Nothobranchius furzeri: one gene and its partners. The protein of the gene in region 1 interacts with the protein of each later gene in a biochemical or structural test. Links are inferred from orthologs where the notes say so. Each region holds a gene or a part of one and is shown in the gene's direction. Other genes may lie near its edges. The genes, in order: cdc5l, prpf19, ctnnbl1 and plrg1.

Region 1 (3,569 bases):
AGAGCTGTGATTGGTCCATAATGGTGGGCCAATCATAGTGCTCTATCTGCTTAGTGAACAAATCACAGAGCTTTATCCGCTTTGTGGGCCAATCAGGGCACTCGATATGCCTGGTGGGTGGGATGATGCAACAGAGTGAAACAAGAGTATGTCACATTCATTGTCCAGTGGAATGCGGAGATCATTTGAAAGACAACGGTAGAACCCGCCCCACAACCGAGAGCCGTCAATGGAGCATGGCCAGACTAAATAATACATTTATTTAGTCTGGCTTGCCAGGCTAGCTGATGTTAGATTTTACGTGGAAATGAACCATACAGATTAAAAGTAGTCTCTAGTCAGAACACGTCTCTGCTGTTTCTGATCACAGATTACACACTAAGCAGAAAAACACACGAGCTTGCATTTATATAGCGAACATTTTCTGTGTTTTCTTCACTGTGTCATCCAAGTAAAAACTGCAGAAACAGAGGATAATGCTCCGACCCACGTGAGAAAGTCCAGAACTCTGGGGGGTGGGTGCAGGCTAACAGCTGCAGCTCTGAGTCAACTTAATGACTTTAATATGATTATTATGTTTTATGTTAATTATTTGTTAGTTTTAATATATGTAAGTTCTAACTTTGTCTTTCTGCCTGTTTGCTTTTTTTACCCTAATTTTTTCAGGATGAGATCCTCAAGGCAGCGGTGATGAAATATGGGAAGAACCAGTGGTCTCGTATCGCCTCCCTGCTTCACCGCAAATCTGCCAAACAGTGTAAAGCCAGATGGTGAGTTTGTAGCCTTTCTACCGGGACACGACACCGACCATTACAAAGGTTAACTACTTTTTTGGGCTGCATGGTGATGCAGTTGTTAGCACTGTTGCCTCGCAGCAAGAAGGTTGCAGGTTCGAAACTCGGCTGTGACCTTTTTGCGTGGAGTTGCATGTTCTCATCATGCATGCGTGGGTTTCCTCCGGGTACTCCGGTTCCCCCACACATCACAACATGCCCTATAGGTTATACGTTGTACGTCGTTTTGGATAAAGGCGTCTGCCAAATAAGTAAACATAAACATACTTTTCTGTTGTAGGTGTGTTCAGTCCGACTACCTGAATCACTCGTCGACGGTGTTTCTGTTTGCAGGTACGAGTGGTTGGACCCCAGTATCAAAAAAACAGAGTGGTCCAGAGAAGAGGAGGAGAAGTTGCTTCACTTGGCCAAGCTGATGCCGACTCAGTGGAGGACCATTGCTCCCATCATTGGGCGCACTGCTGCCCAGTGTCTAGAGCACTATGAATACCTGCTGTACAGTTTCAATTTTTACACTCATTTGCTCTTTGCTACCAGAGAGGAACTTTGCATTTATGGCAATTTACAGGTCAGGGTGACAGATGTGCTTTTGTCTTCATTTAGAGATAAAGCAGCACAGAGAGACAACGAGGAAGAGGTGGGAGATGATCCCAGGAAGCTGAAACCAGGAGAGATCGACCCAAACCCTGAGACTAAACCTGCCAGACCTGACCCCGTGGACATGGATGAAGGTGAAATCACACACTTCATTCTTTCACAAGCACAAAATAAGTTTTTGTTCTGCAGCATTATTCCTCTCATCTCTTTTAGGAACGTTGGTTTCTGTGCTAATAAGTGGGTCCGATTAGCAGCAATAGAAACATACACACGACTGTGTTTTTGTCTTTGTAGATGAGCTGGAGATGTTGTCAGAAGCCAGAGCTCGTCTGGCCAACACGCAGGGCAAAAAAGCCAAGAGGAAGGCCAGAGAGAAACAGCTGGAGGAAGCCAGGTATGGCCAATTCCATCCATTAACATCCATTCAGGGGTAGCCCTGAAATCCATCAGTGCATAACAAACAAATATTTGTCCTTTGTTTTACTCTCATTCTGCTGCAGGCGCCTGGCTGCTCTGCAGAAACGCAGAGAGCTGAGAGCAGCAGGAATCCACGTTCAGAAGAAGAGAAAGAAGAAGAGAGGAGTGGACTACAATGCTGAAATCCCCTTTGAAAAGAAACCTGCACCAGTAACTATTGATGCTAATATTTATTCATTCATTATTTAAGCTACAGCCCAGTGTCACCAACGTCAGACTGTGAGTTGGATTGTAAATTATTTTTGTTTCCTGTTAGGGTTTCTATGACACCAGCATGGAGCAGTACGATGCCCTGGAGCCACACTTTAAACGACTCAGGCAGCAGCACTTGGACGGGGAGCTACGCAAGTCAGTAACAACACACACTCTGCTTTTATGCATCAACTGAATCTGGAGTTCTCACTTAATCAGTTGTTTACATGTAGCGAGTCTGAGGAGAGGGACCGAAAGAAAGATAAACAGAAGATGAAGAAGAAGAAAGAGAGCGATCTGCCATCAGCTATCCTGCAGACTAGCGGAGTGGCAGAGTTCACCAAGAAGCGCTCCAAACTGGTGTTACCCGCCCCACAGGTATGCTCCAGGATCACAGCAGTGTCTGAGCTCGGATGCATCTGGTCCTAACAGATCAGCGATGTTTGTCTGTCCTTCCTCTGGTTTCAGATCAGTGATGCGGAGTTAGAGGAGGTCGTGAAACTGGGAGTGGCAAGTGAGGTCGCCCGCCAGGCTGCTGAGGAAAGCGAAGGTGGGAACTCTGCTTCCTCCACCCTCCTGTCTGAGTACAGCATCACCAACAACATGACAACTGGACTACGAACCCCACGCACCCCTGCTGCACAGGACAGGATCCTGCAGGTTGACCACAAACACAATGACTTTCTCACTTCATCTAAGTTTTCTGGTATTTTGTACAAATCAGTTGTTTTGTGGTCTTTATTTACTTGTATTTTTTATTTTCTCTCATTTAAATTAACCAAGCAGAAGCTTTCTTCTCTGTTTATATTCATGTGTTTTTGTGCTTCTGTTCTGTAGGAAGCCCAGAACCTGATGGCTCTGACCAACATAGACACGCCGCTGAAGGGGGGTCTCAACACCCCGCTGCACGAGAGTGACTTCAGCGGCGTGACGCCTCAGAGGCAGCAGGTCCAAACACCAAACACTGTTCTCAGTACACCGTTCAGGTATGATCTCACTCTCCTGTCTTGTTATGGTGCATCAAAGCTTTTAACTTTAGTTACAGAAAAATGTGTTCATTAAAACTATTCTTCCAGCTTTGCCAAAACAACAAAGCTTGTGTTTTGTAAACATCAGCTGATTCATAAATCTTTTGCTCGTGTAATTAAACCAGAAAGGCTTAAGTAGCCTGTTTTAATGTTGCTTTAGCTTCTGGTGCAGCAGACTGGTTATAACCCCTCTTGGTTCAAATTGAGTTTCTGTTGGAAATAGGGCTGCAACAAACGATTATTTGGATAATCGATTAATCGGATGGGGTCTCGACACGATTAATCGATTAATCGGATTACATGGGGAAATTTTTAAAAACTGCTAGGGAAATGTTATTTCTCTCCTTCCTTCACTTTATTTAACACAACATTATTAGAAAACAGTTCAGTAGCAGAAAAACAACATGCCATCACCTAAATTGTCTTATAAGGTGTATAGACAGAGACCCTAAGCTACATCTATCTGTGACCTAAAATGCTT
Region 2 (4,295 bases), on another chromosome or scaffold:
GATCAAGAAAGACGGAGATGAGGAAAGGTGGAGCAAATCCAACAACTTATTTTCCGCGCTGCCTCTAGATACGGACACTTCTGAATCTTGCAGTGTTTACACATCAAATAAACTGGACTTTCTATAAAAACGGAGGCTAGGATGAGATGAGAAGTGAAGCTTGAGGCATGGAAATATTACAGTAGATGATTCTAAGCTGACATGAACAATCTCATGTGCACCAGTTTGCACACTTTTAATTCTTGGGTTTGTACTGAGTTTTGAACCACGGGTTGAGCGTTACCCTTCATGTCACACATTGCACTATGGTGCTCATGAAATCTCCTGCTGTTACCTACCTCCAGACCCTCAGGACCAACATGATCTGCACTGTCTTTGCCGGGTGTCTCAAGTGTTCATTGGCCTTCTATGATCCCTAGGTCTGCATAAACGTCAACATAGTTACTCTAAGGTTTGCAAGAGAAAATTATTAAAATGCCACATTATTATAGCATAAACTAAAGTGCATAATCATCCTGTTCATTCCTGACTGCTGCAAAAAATATTATAAATATCTGTCTTGCAGTTAAAGTTATTTTGCAGGTGTAGTGTTATTACCCTCTAGACAATTGTAGAAATGTAACCTATTATAGGGCAACAGCCTGTAAATCTGGGAACATATTATAGCATCACTAATGTAATTCATTATTGACTATCAGAAGGTTGTCTCTAAAACAATAAAATGTATATTTAACACAAACGCCTCATATTATCTATTCTTTGACTATAGAGAAATCTGCTTGAGCATGGGTCTGCATTCTTTACAATCCAAACGGCCGTTTTTCTCTCAGTCCATCCCAATAATTGTTCAGAGCCTCAACTGTTAGAGGACGTTCAGGAAAAACGCCATTTATGATAAAAATCTATGTTGGAGGTTTAACGTAGAGGAAAGTTATCTTCTTTTTTTTTTTTTTTTTTTTGCTCAGATGTCTTGACATTAATGGGAGAATTCTGAGATTAAAGCAAGAAATATTTGTGCCTTCTTCAATAAGGAACTATTAGATTTGCTGTCATTTAAAAATATCCAACATTTGTTTCCATTAGTCAATTTTAAAATGATAAAAAAAATACTTTGGCAAACGTAGAATGGAGATTTTTCTCTGGGATGTTGATATTTGTGGAAAATTATGTCAAATGGTAATTGTAGTTTCATTTTGATGTGGATATTCAATGTAGTTATTCCATAAAACCCGAAAAGCTGCTTTAACCAACAATTTTTAATATGTCTATGTTAAAAATGTGCTTTTTAAAATAATTTTTATCTAAAGAGCCACTTGCACTGCTGGTTGCAGACCCCTGTAAGATTTTCAAGAGTGCAGTGGTGTGTTTTAAGCGGTGGAGGGCAGTGCAGACTGAAATGAGTGCGGTTTGATTGTTGGCGGAAACCAGCGACGAAGAAAAAGGAAGCAGTTCCTTTATAGCGGCAATGAAAGGACAGCGTGCTATCTCCAGTTTGAACTAAATATAAGTGTTCACAAGCGGGGGGAAATTCAAGACGCCAAAAAACACAGTCTACGTTTAGGAGGGCACTGTTAGGACTGCGTTTGGAACATGTCTTTGGTTTGTGCAAGTAAGTGAAGATGAAAATTTGCAGGACGGCGCCTGTGAGTTAGCTCGGTATCATGCTAATGCTACAAGCTAATGAAGCTAACATTAGCGGCCACGCAAACCGTATTTAACTTCAGTTTCCCTCCATTCTCTTTTTTTTCTTTGTTTTTACTGAGTTGTGAGCGTTATGCGCCCTCTCCTTTTGTTTGTTTGTAGTTTGCAACGAGGTGCCGGAGCACCCGTGCATCTCCCCGGTGTCCAATCATGTGTTTGAGCGGAGGCTGATAGAGAAGTACATCGCCGAGAATGGGACGGACCCGATGAACGGACAGCCGCTGTCCGAGGAGCAGCTAGTGGACATCAAAGGTGAACTACACCCTCGATTTGACTTTATTTAAGTTTGATTAACTTGATATTTTTGGACACTACGAATGAATTAATGAGTAAACGACGAGTTTGAAATTCGCATTGTATTAAAGCCTGTTTAACATGATAAACATGAAATGCTGAGTTATTCACACTGAAGTGGTTGTTTGGGACAGATTATTTAACCTAAGGCTAACCGATTATTAATCCAGGCATCAAAAGGGATCAAAATTAAAAATACAGTTTATTATAATAAAGGTAAATAACTAAACTTTTTGTCTTGCGTCGTTTTTAACTGAAATGATCATGGCCATCTGATCTTTCATTTATTTTATTTTTAATTGAGTCGTAATTTTAAAATAATGGTTTTAATTTATTATTAGTAACACTCTGATAAGTCTGGGCCTTTCAATAAACTGTACCAGTTCAATCCAGTTGCACACTGAAATAACATATTTAACTTAAAAAGGTTTGACTGAATTTTTCCTGGTTTGGAAAATGTCTTCCCGCTTAGTGACCCACCCCATCAGACCAAAGGCGCCATCAGCAACAAGCATCCCAGCTATTCTCAAGTCTCTTCAAGATGAGTGGGTGAGTGATGGAAACGGTCAGGAGGACACTCGTCCACCTCACACCTGTGTGTTATTGTTGACTATTTAGAACAGGAATCACCCTTTTATTTTTCACACAACAGCTGCTATTTGAACAAAAATAAATCTGAAAACTCGTCAAACACATAGATCAACATATGACACTTTTACGTAACTTTTGAAGTAATTTTGGGGTTTGTAAGCTCAAGTATTAAAGACATTGCTGTCATTTCTAATAAATTAATTTCAAATCTCAGGAAGAGTTGTTTTTTTTATGCGTCCTACAGGATGCCGTCATGCTTCACAGCTTCACCTTGCGGCAGCAACTGCAGACTACTCGCCAGGAACTCTCTCACGCCCTTTATCAACACGACGCAGCCTGCAGAGTCATCGCTCGACTCAACAAGGAGGTCACGGCTGCAAGAGAAGGTCTGTATGTCCTAAGAAGACACATCTTGGTGTTTCTAAAATGTTAATAGCCACTTGGCGTGTTATTTCAAAGGTTTATTTGTTAAATGGGAACATAAGCACGTTTAAAATGTCCTAAATGTGTTTATTTTGTTTTTGCAGCTCTGGCCACACTTAAACCTCAAGCTGGACTGGTGACCCCTCAGGCCGCCCCCGCCTCTCAGCCTGCTGCAGCAGTGAGTGACCCATGCCTAACTGTTTTAACCCTCAGCTCTTGGTAGTTTTAGTCCTCTTGTATAAAATATTCACATTTGTATTGCAGGGTGCTGGTGGAGAGCCTATGGAGATCAGTGAACAGGTGGGAATGACTCCAGAGATCATCCAGAAGGTAAAACACTTTTTTTATGTCCACAGAATTTTATTATTTTATTATAAGCTCATATTTCATTTTATTTAAACAATTTAATCTGTTTGATCATTCCAGCTGCAAGACAAGGCTACTATTCTCACCACAGAGAGGAAAAAGGTTTGTAGCATTTTTTCCTTGTTATAGTTATAACTTCCAACGGAAGGTAAAGTTTTTATATCTTGTGATTGTGTGTGATTTAAAAAGTTCCTTGTGCTTCTGTAGAGGGGAAAAACTGTTCCAGAGGAGCTGGTTAGAGCCGAGGATCTCAGCAAGTACCGCCAAGTGGCCTCCCACGCTGTAAGTGCAGAACCAGGATGATGAAGATGGTCCTATAAACGACTGAATGTGCTTCATCTGGTGGACTTGTTTCCTGTTTGCTTCAGGGTCTTCACAGCGCCAGTGTGCCTGGTATTCTGTCCCTGGACGTGTGTCCCTCAGACACCAGCAAAGTGCTCACTGGTACTCTGAGCTTAACTCTGTCCTATTTGATTTGGCGTTGTGTCGAATCACCCGCTCGGGGCCGATTTAGTCCAACGCTGACTGTGTTGTCGTCCTCCAGGTGGAGCTGATAAGAGTGTGGTGGTGTTTGACAAGAACGAGGAGCAGATTGTGGCGACTCTTAAAGGCCACACCAAAAAGGTCACCTCTGTCATTTTCCATCCATCTCAGGTGAGTCTTTGTCCGTTGGGGGTCTTTTATTGATAACTGAAGGAACGTGCCAGGTGTGATCCTTCTCTCTGACGTGTTCTCCCCTCTAGTCTATGGTCTTCTCTGCCTCTCCTGATGCCACCATCCGTGTGTGGTCTGTTACCGGGGGCAACTGCATCCAGGTGGTGCGTGCCCACGAAGCCAGCGTCACCGGTCTGTCCCTTCATGCTACTGGAGACTACCTGCTCAGCTCCTCTGAGGATCAGGTGGGCATGAATTAAGGTTTA
Region 3 (3,569 bases), on another chromosome or scaffold:
AGGTAAGACCCAGGACTCGTGAAATGAATACCAGCTAATAAGATGATATCTCTGAGTACATAAAACTTCTGGTATGTTCTCAGTCATGCCGGGTTTGATGATTTGTTTTTTTCTGTTTAACTGCTGTACTTGTATAGGATAAATGTTTATTCTGAGATTTTGTGACAGGGATGTTATAGAGCAAACCTTATAACTACTGTAGGTTTGTCTGTAACAAAAACAAAAATCTAGTTTCATATTTATCTAAAAAAAAAACGTCTGGTTTAGTTTGGAATCACACCATCTGCGGGAATTAATTTCTGTGTTTTCCCTCTTTTGGGTTGTTTTGAATAAAATAAATGAGGTTATAAATATGTTCAGAAATGATGTGCAGTATTATACACTGTGTGAGACAGAATCTGCATAAAGCAGGTCTCTGCTTGAGGTTAGAAAATGCAGATTTTCCTGTAGAATACATAGTGATTTTGTAATCCTCTGGAGAACAGAGTTTCTCAAGAGGAGTGGTAATTAGACTTCGCTCTCCTTCCCTCTCAGGCAAAGATGCCGTTTGATGCTAACAAGCTGTACTGCAGTGAAATTCTAGCCATTCTGCTGCAAAATAATGACAGTAAGTGTATCTCAGTAAATTGTTGACGTGTTCTAAATTATTTATTTATCTTCCATCTTTTTTCCGCCTGTTCACCCTAAATTGACTTCAACCCTCCATTCTGTCTTAGTTACATTTCTCTCATTGAACTTGTTAAAATATTTTCCTTGTCGTCCTCTCCCTCTCTAAAATGTTCCTCCTTTTTAAGTTACTTTCCACGCCATCTCTGTTGGTTTATGTGCAGTCGTCTTCATCCTTTCCCTCCCTCACAAAAAAGAAAGGCAGTAAAATCAGAGCCACAGGACGACCAGGGCCTTGGGCTAGTTCTCATTAATGGTACAAATCACATTGGTATGCAGCTGAAGTCATTTCTCATTTCGCACCTATTTCCCCACTCTTCTCTTGTGCTGCCTCCATTATAACTCTCTCTCTCTTTTGCATTTCAAAATGAAAAATTTATACAAAACTATGTTTTGCCAAAACAAGGACACATGCTGTCTTGAGTACTATCCTGTTTAATATATATATATATATATATATATATATATATATATATATATATATATATATATATATATATATATATAGCCACATAAAATGGGAAATTATAACAACATAGGCAACATTCCTGATGTCCTAATTTGCATCTACTTATTTTTATTAGACTTCAATAAAAACAAAAATCTAAAAGATATCATATAAAACAGCAGAGGCGTTAGTGTGGAAGCTCCCGATGCCTTTAAATTGTCCCATCTTATTTCCTTAGTCATTATTTTGTTAAAGTAATTGATTTAGGTTTAGCACAAATCATTTTTGTTTAAATGCTCATTTTTATAATCGGAATCTTGTGAACTCATTTCTGCCTCCTTTTCATTCACCTTGTTGTCTTTTTATTTTCTCTTTCTTTACAGGTACCAGAGAACTGCTGGGTGAAATGGATGGTATTGATGTGCTACTGCAGCAGTTATCTGTAAGAACTTTTATTTTTTTCTCTCACTTGTATTCAAACTAGGGATGCTCGATATTTTCTTTTTGTTTTTTTTACCAATATCAGACACACCGATATTGTCTGACTCTTAATTTCCAATACCAATTTAAACATACTGATTAATTTTATGCCCCTCCCTCATAAAAAAGAAAAACTGAAATATTTTAGGTTACTAACACATCACATATCTCCCATTAGTCGTTTGTTAGCCGTCTAGCTACACATTGCCAGGTGCAGGACGGTGTACGTTCACCACACAGGGCAAATTTCTACTTCTCAAATTGTGTCAAAAAAACTAAAATATGTCAATAACCTTACCTCAGATCTGTCATATTTTAACATTTTGAGAGAGAGAATAAGTAGCTGAAGAATTTGATGTATATTATGTGGATGTTATTAACTCATTCACCGCCAATGACGACTAAAGTCACCATTTGCATTTATTTACTGTGTGGGCGTCGGAACGAGCCCCCGCACCATGAGAACGAACATCTCAGCTCTAAAGCTGATCTTCATTCGCGTACATCACACGTCATGTGATCAGGAAGCAGAAAATCCATGTGTTAGGAGATCGTTTTCGGACGTTGCTGTAAAAAAAGTGAGGCGCGAACCGGAAAAGCTTCTGCCGATCACAATTCAACAACGGATTATGAAAGAACGGATAACGCTCGAAACGCGTGGATTCTTCCTGATGTAAGAAGTGAGTCTCCTCTTTGTTTTGGTAGTTTTCGCATTGACATCATCCTAGCGCGCAACGTTATGTGACTCTTAAAAAAACTGTGAAAATGCTGAAAACCGCTGGCAGCGAAAGGCTTTTCTGATCAGGAAACGGCTGGCAGTTAACGAGTTAAAAGGTTGGGTCAAAACCGATACCAATATTGTCCGGTATTACATTTTTTATGCCAATATCTGTCGATATTAATAATAAACCAATAATATTGCACATCCGTGGTTCAAACATTTAACTTATTTCTAAGCTCTAAACACGCCCGGCGCCTGTTCTCCTGCAACGCATTTTGTCTAACGTGAAGCTGTGCAAGCAACCCCACCACTGATGAATGTTTGGTTTAGTGTGGCTTTTATTTGGAATTAGCTTTATTTCATAATTAGATGCTAAATTAGTAGACAAAGGTATAATCCTTCATGTCATCTTTTTTCTAAGTGCTTCCCACTCCTTGTCCTTTTCTCTCAGGTGTTCAAACGTCACAATCCGAACACGGCTGAGGAGCAGGAGATGATGGAAAATCTGTTTGATGCTCTGTGTTCCTGCCTCATGCTGCCCTCTAATCGGGATCGCTTCCTCAAAGGAGAAGGGCTTCAGCTAATGAATCTCATGCTCAGGTAAAGGTTTAATCTACAAGAAATCCCATGAGTGGGATGCACTACAGACTTCCTAAACCGTAAATCATCCCGCAGCTTGCCAGGGATCCCATCCCTCATATCCGTAAAGGTAAAGGTTTCCCAGATCAGGCTTTCAGCTGTTGTTTCATATTTTTCAGGACTTCTATAAATTGACAGACTTTAAATGTATATTACACGCTTCTATCTGAAGCAGATATCACTCTAAATACCAGAATGTTATTTGACCTTTTCTCTTTGTCGCAGCTTTAGGATTTTTACATTTCCCAAAGCACTTTACAATAAAAGGTTTACACCAACAGTTCAGCGTTTTGGAGGACCACCTGAAACCAAAATGATTAATATGCTTATGCTACTATAAGTGCAACAATAATAACAGTAATACACAGTTAAAGGTTGACTATGGAACACAAACACTCTGGTGTTCAGAGAACAAATTTTCCAGTTGCTGGGATGTTGGTTCACTGCTGACCCGTTCCAGCACTATGTTCAGAGACAAATTGTACAGGATAAGGACAAATTTCTACTAATAACTTTATTTTACAACAAAATTTACCATTGGAACATCTTCTGGGCTCAAAATCAGCTGCTTGTCAAGTCTGCCATTTTACACAGTCCCAACCTTGCATTGCTGAG
Region 4 (2,788 bases), on another chromosome or scaffold:
ACTACAGGTTTGCGCAGAAACAAAAGTTGTCCACTAGATGGGGCTGTCACATGTACCACCTTAACTCACACTTTTACGTGACTCAAGGTGGAACAGCTTCTTAAAGGGACATGAATGTTGCCGACCTACACATATTTTCATTTTTATTATCAAATTACTTGACATGGGAACAATGATCTCGATAAGAGTCAGAAATTTCTTTAACGATAAATTTTCGATTTATTGCCCAGCTCTATGTTGAAGCATCAGTTTTACGGTATTTGAGGGCATTTTTTTCCCCACGCTACACTCCACATAAACCCTGAGTCGGTCTGAACCAAAAAGCACCTGCTACGAACAGGTTGTTTGCTAGGCTACATCTGTTAGCAAGACAAACATCAGAGTAATGAAAGCATTTAGAATTGTATACATTATACATTAAAGTATATTGGTAATGGCCAGCATGACATGTTGACCACTTACAGGTTTCGAAAGATTGTACATAAAAAAAAAGGCGTAGTCTTTGCTGTGAATCGGTCCAGGCAGCCGCCAATTCTTCCTGGTGCACTAGTCCAACCCCAAAGCCTTGGCAGCCAATCAGCAGAGAGCTGAACAAACCGAAGCTAGCCTGGCCTTAACCAAAAGTGCCCAAAACACAATATCGGTGTGAAACTGCATGTAGACAACATGTTCTGTGTTTTTAGTGCATTAACAACGCAGATTTATGACAGACAAACATAAGTTTTAGTCCTGCTACCTCTTCTAGCTTCACACTTAGCATGCTAAATGTTTACTTTACTTTGGTGTGACTGTGGAGCAGTTAATTTGGTCCCCCGCTGAAACACTTTCCCACATTCCAGACCTTGTCTGAGCTATTCACCATGTCAGCAGCATATGAAAGATTAACATCATAACAGAAACACACACCGGTTTCTAGTACAGACCTGTGTACCACAGGCATATTTACTACTCTATTTAATCTAAAATAACTTGGTTTTGTGTATTTATAGCAGTTGTGGTATTTTTACAGCCTCACGACAGCATTGGTTTGTCTTCCAGGTAATCAGGCACTACCATGGCCACCTCAGTGCTGTGTATGATTTGGATCTACATCCAACCATCGATGTGCTTGTGACATGCAGCCGAGACGCCTCAGCGAGGGTGAGTTTAGTTTGGGCTGTGTTGGAGCTTGATGGGAAATGTGGGTGTAGAGGTGGCGACTGCATGAAGAGGTGGAAGAGAACGTCTCTGAAATACACAAACACACAATACAAACACAAACTACAGTTAATATGCTATCCTGGACCAGAGATGTGACTGCAGTGGTGGTGCGACGCCCTCTGTTGTCCTGGCAGGGAATCGCTTTGCAACTCTCCCCAGTGAAAACGTCGCTGTCAGTGCGTGTGTGCCGCTCTGCACCCGAGCTGAGGAGGAGGAAAACATCAGTGATGTGTAACCTAGAGATGAAAGGGAATGTGTGTGTTGTTTTAAACCATGAGACCAATATGGTTCTAGTTTGGTGGGATTAGGCCTCTGTCTTGTTTAATCCCAATCCTGACTGGGACTGGATTTTCTTTGTGCTTTTAGGTGTGGGACATCAGGTCAAAAGCAAACGTGCACACACTTACTGGTCATACCAACACGGTGGCTACAGTCAGATGTCAGGCTGTAGAGCCACAGATCATCACTGGTGAGTAGATTTGAAGCCAATAACAGTGATTATGGCTGCTCCACTTGGGGGGGGGGGGCTTGGTCTCCATTGTGTTTGTTATTGGTGAAATCATTATTTAACTTGATGACTTGTTGACTTGGGGAAACACTCCACCATGAATGCTGTGGTGCACCTTATCAAAATAAGAGCCCGAGTGATGCACGAGATTAATTTTTATACACTATATTATAAATCACTTCAGAAGTCTTTTATTCATTTTGATTTAAAGGAACACAGATTCTGTGGTAGAGCTGATCTAAAGTGTCAAGAGTTCAGGTTTTAAGCAGGCAGTTTCATGTTTGCAGGTGACAAAACTGTGTGTGTGTGTGTGTGTGTGTGTGTGTGTGTGTGTGTGTGTGTGTGTGTGTAGGCAGTCACGATGCAACCATCAGGCTTTGGGATCTGATCGCTGGGAAGACCAGAGCAACTCTGACAAACCACAAGAAATCTGTCCGAACTCTGGTGCTGCACCCCAGACAGTAAGTCCTCACGTTAGCCAATTGATTGGCTTTATTGAGTTTAAATTTTTGTTTGACTACAGATTTAATTTGGTGATATTCTAAAAAGCTATTCTTATCCATTCCAAATTGGGAGACTATTCTATTAAATGGGATGAAGTCCAGTCCTTCATATATGTGTTCCAGGTATAGGATCCCTTTATTTTTCCAGTCCGGAAGGTTCATCATTTTGTTATTTTGCAAAATATCAGGATTTTTCCAGATAGGTGTGCGTCTGCATGGTACTAGTGTAGACTCTGTCATTTTAAGATACTCCCACCATGCTGTCAGAGAGGTGATGATACTAATACTTTTGAAGCCTTCATGTTTTCTTATGCTTGAGCTAATAAATGGTAAGTCTGAAAGCTCTATCGTATTGCAAAGTGTCTGTTCCATATCTAACCAGGACTCATCTAGTGGGTTATCTTGCAACCATCTTGGTATATATTGCAGCCTGTTGGCTAAGAAAAATAATAAAAGTTGGGTAGATCCAGTCCTCTTCTATCTTTGGTCTTCTGAAGCGTTTTTAAGCTAATTCGTGGAGGTTTATCCTGCCAAAGGAATTTAGTAATTGAGGAGTCCAGAGATTTAAACCAGTCAG

What was found.
Region 2: the proteins of cdc5l (region 1) and prpf19 form a complex in vitro, tested with the Homo sapiens proteins (2 studies listed by BioGRID, with this or other methods). The link is inferred for Nothobranchius furzeri from reciprocal best matches to the Homo sapiens genes CDC5L and PRPF19.
Region 3: the proteins of cdc5l (region 1) and ctnnbl1 form a complex in vitro, tested with the Homo sapiens proteins (3 studies listed by BioGRID and IntAct, with this or other methods). The link is inferred for Nothobranchius furzeri from reciprocal best matches to the Homo sapiens genes CDC5L and CTNNBL1.
Region 4: the proteins of cdc5l (region 1) and plrg1 form a complex in vitro, tested with the Homo sapiens proteins (3 studies listed by BioGRID, with this or other methods). The link is inferred for Nothobranchius furzeri from reciprocal best matches to the Homo sapiens genes CDC5L and PLRG1.

Annotation. Positions count from the first base shown.
Region 1 is NC_091752.1:40,109,943-40,113,511, forward strand, and holds part of cdc5l (cell division cycle 5-like protein), read left to right. Parts: intron 1-666; coding exon 667-770; intron 771-1,127; coding exon 1,128-1,289; intron 1,290-1,397; coding exon 1,398-1,525; intron 1,526-1,685; coding exon 1,686-1,785; intron 1,786-1,891; coding exon 1,892-2,018; intron 2,019-2,124; coding exon 2,125-2,216; intron 2,217-2,293; coding exon 2,294-2,438; intron 2,439-2,528; coding exon 2,529-2,720; intron 2,721-2,897; coding exon 2,898-3,046; intron 3,047-3,569.
Region 2 is NC_091741.1:94,861,615-94,865,909, reverse strand, and holds the start of prpf19 (pre-mRNA-processing factor 19), read left to right. Parts: upstream 1-1,457; 5' UTR 1,458-1,590; coding exon 1,591-1,609; intron 1,610-1,803; coding exon 1,804-1,953; intron 1,954-2,467; coding exon 2,468-2,544; intron 2,545-2,830; coding exon 2,831-2,972; intron 2,973-3,113; coding exon 3,114-3,187; intron 3,188-3,273; coding exon 3,274-3,339; intron 3,340-3,435; coding exon 3,436-3,477; intron 3,478-3,582; coding exon 3,583-3,657; intron 3,658-3,743; coding exon 3,744-3,819; intron 3,820-3,919; coding exon 3,920-4,029; intron 4,030-4,118; coding exon 4,119-4,274; intron 4,275-4,295. Other genes in the region: uncharacterized protein, read left to right, coding at 1-127. UniProt on the Homo sapiens protein: Ubiquitin-protein ligase which is a core component of several complexes mainly involved pre-mRNA splicing and DNA repair. Required for pre-mRNA splicing as component of the spliceosome.
Region 3 is NC_091755.1:51,796,259-51,799,827, reverse strand, and holds part of ctnnbl1 (beta-catenin-like protein 1), read left to right. Parts: coding exon 1-2; intron 3-534; coding exon 535-607; intron 608-1,497; coding exon 1,498-1,556; intron 1,557-2,766; coding exon 2,767-2,915; intron 2,916-3,569. UniProt on the Homo sapiens protein: Component of the PRP19-CDC5L complex that forms an integral part of the spliceosome and is required for activating pre-mRNA splicing.
Region 4 is NC_091744.1:17,227,079-17,229,866, reverse strand, and holds part of plrg1 (pleiotropic regulator 1), read left to right. Parts: intron 1-1,038; coding exon 1,039-1,140; intron 1,141-1,566; coding exon 1,567-1,669; intron 1,670-2,060; coding exon 2,061-2,169; intron 2,170-2,788. UniProt on the Homo sapiens protein: Involved in pre-mRNA splicing as component of the spliceosome. Component of the PRP19-CDC5L complex that forms an integral part of the spliceosome and is required for activating pre-mRNA splicing.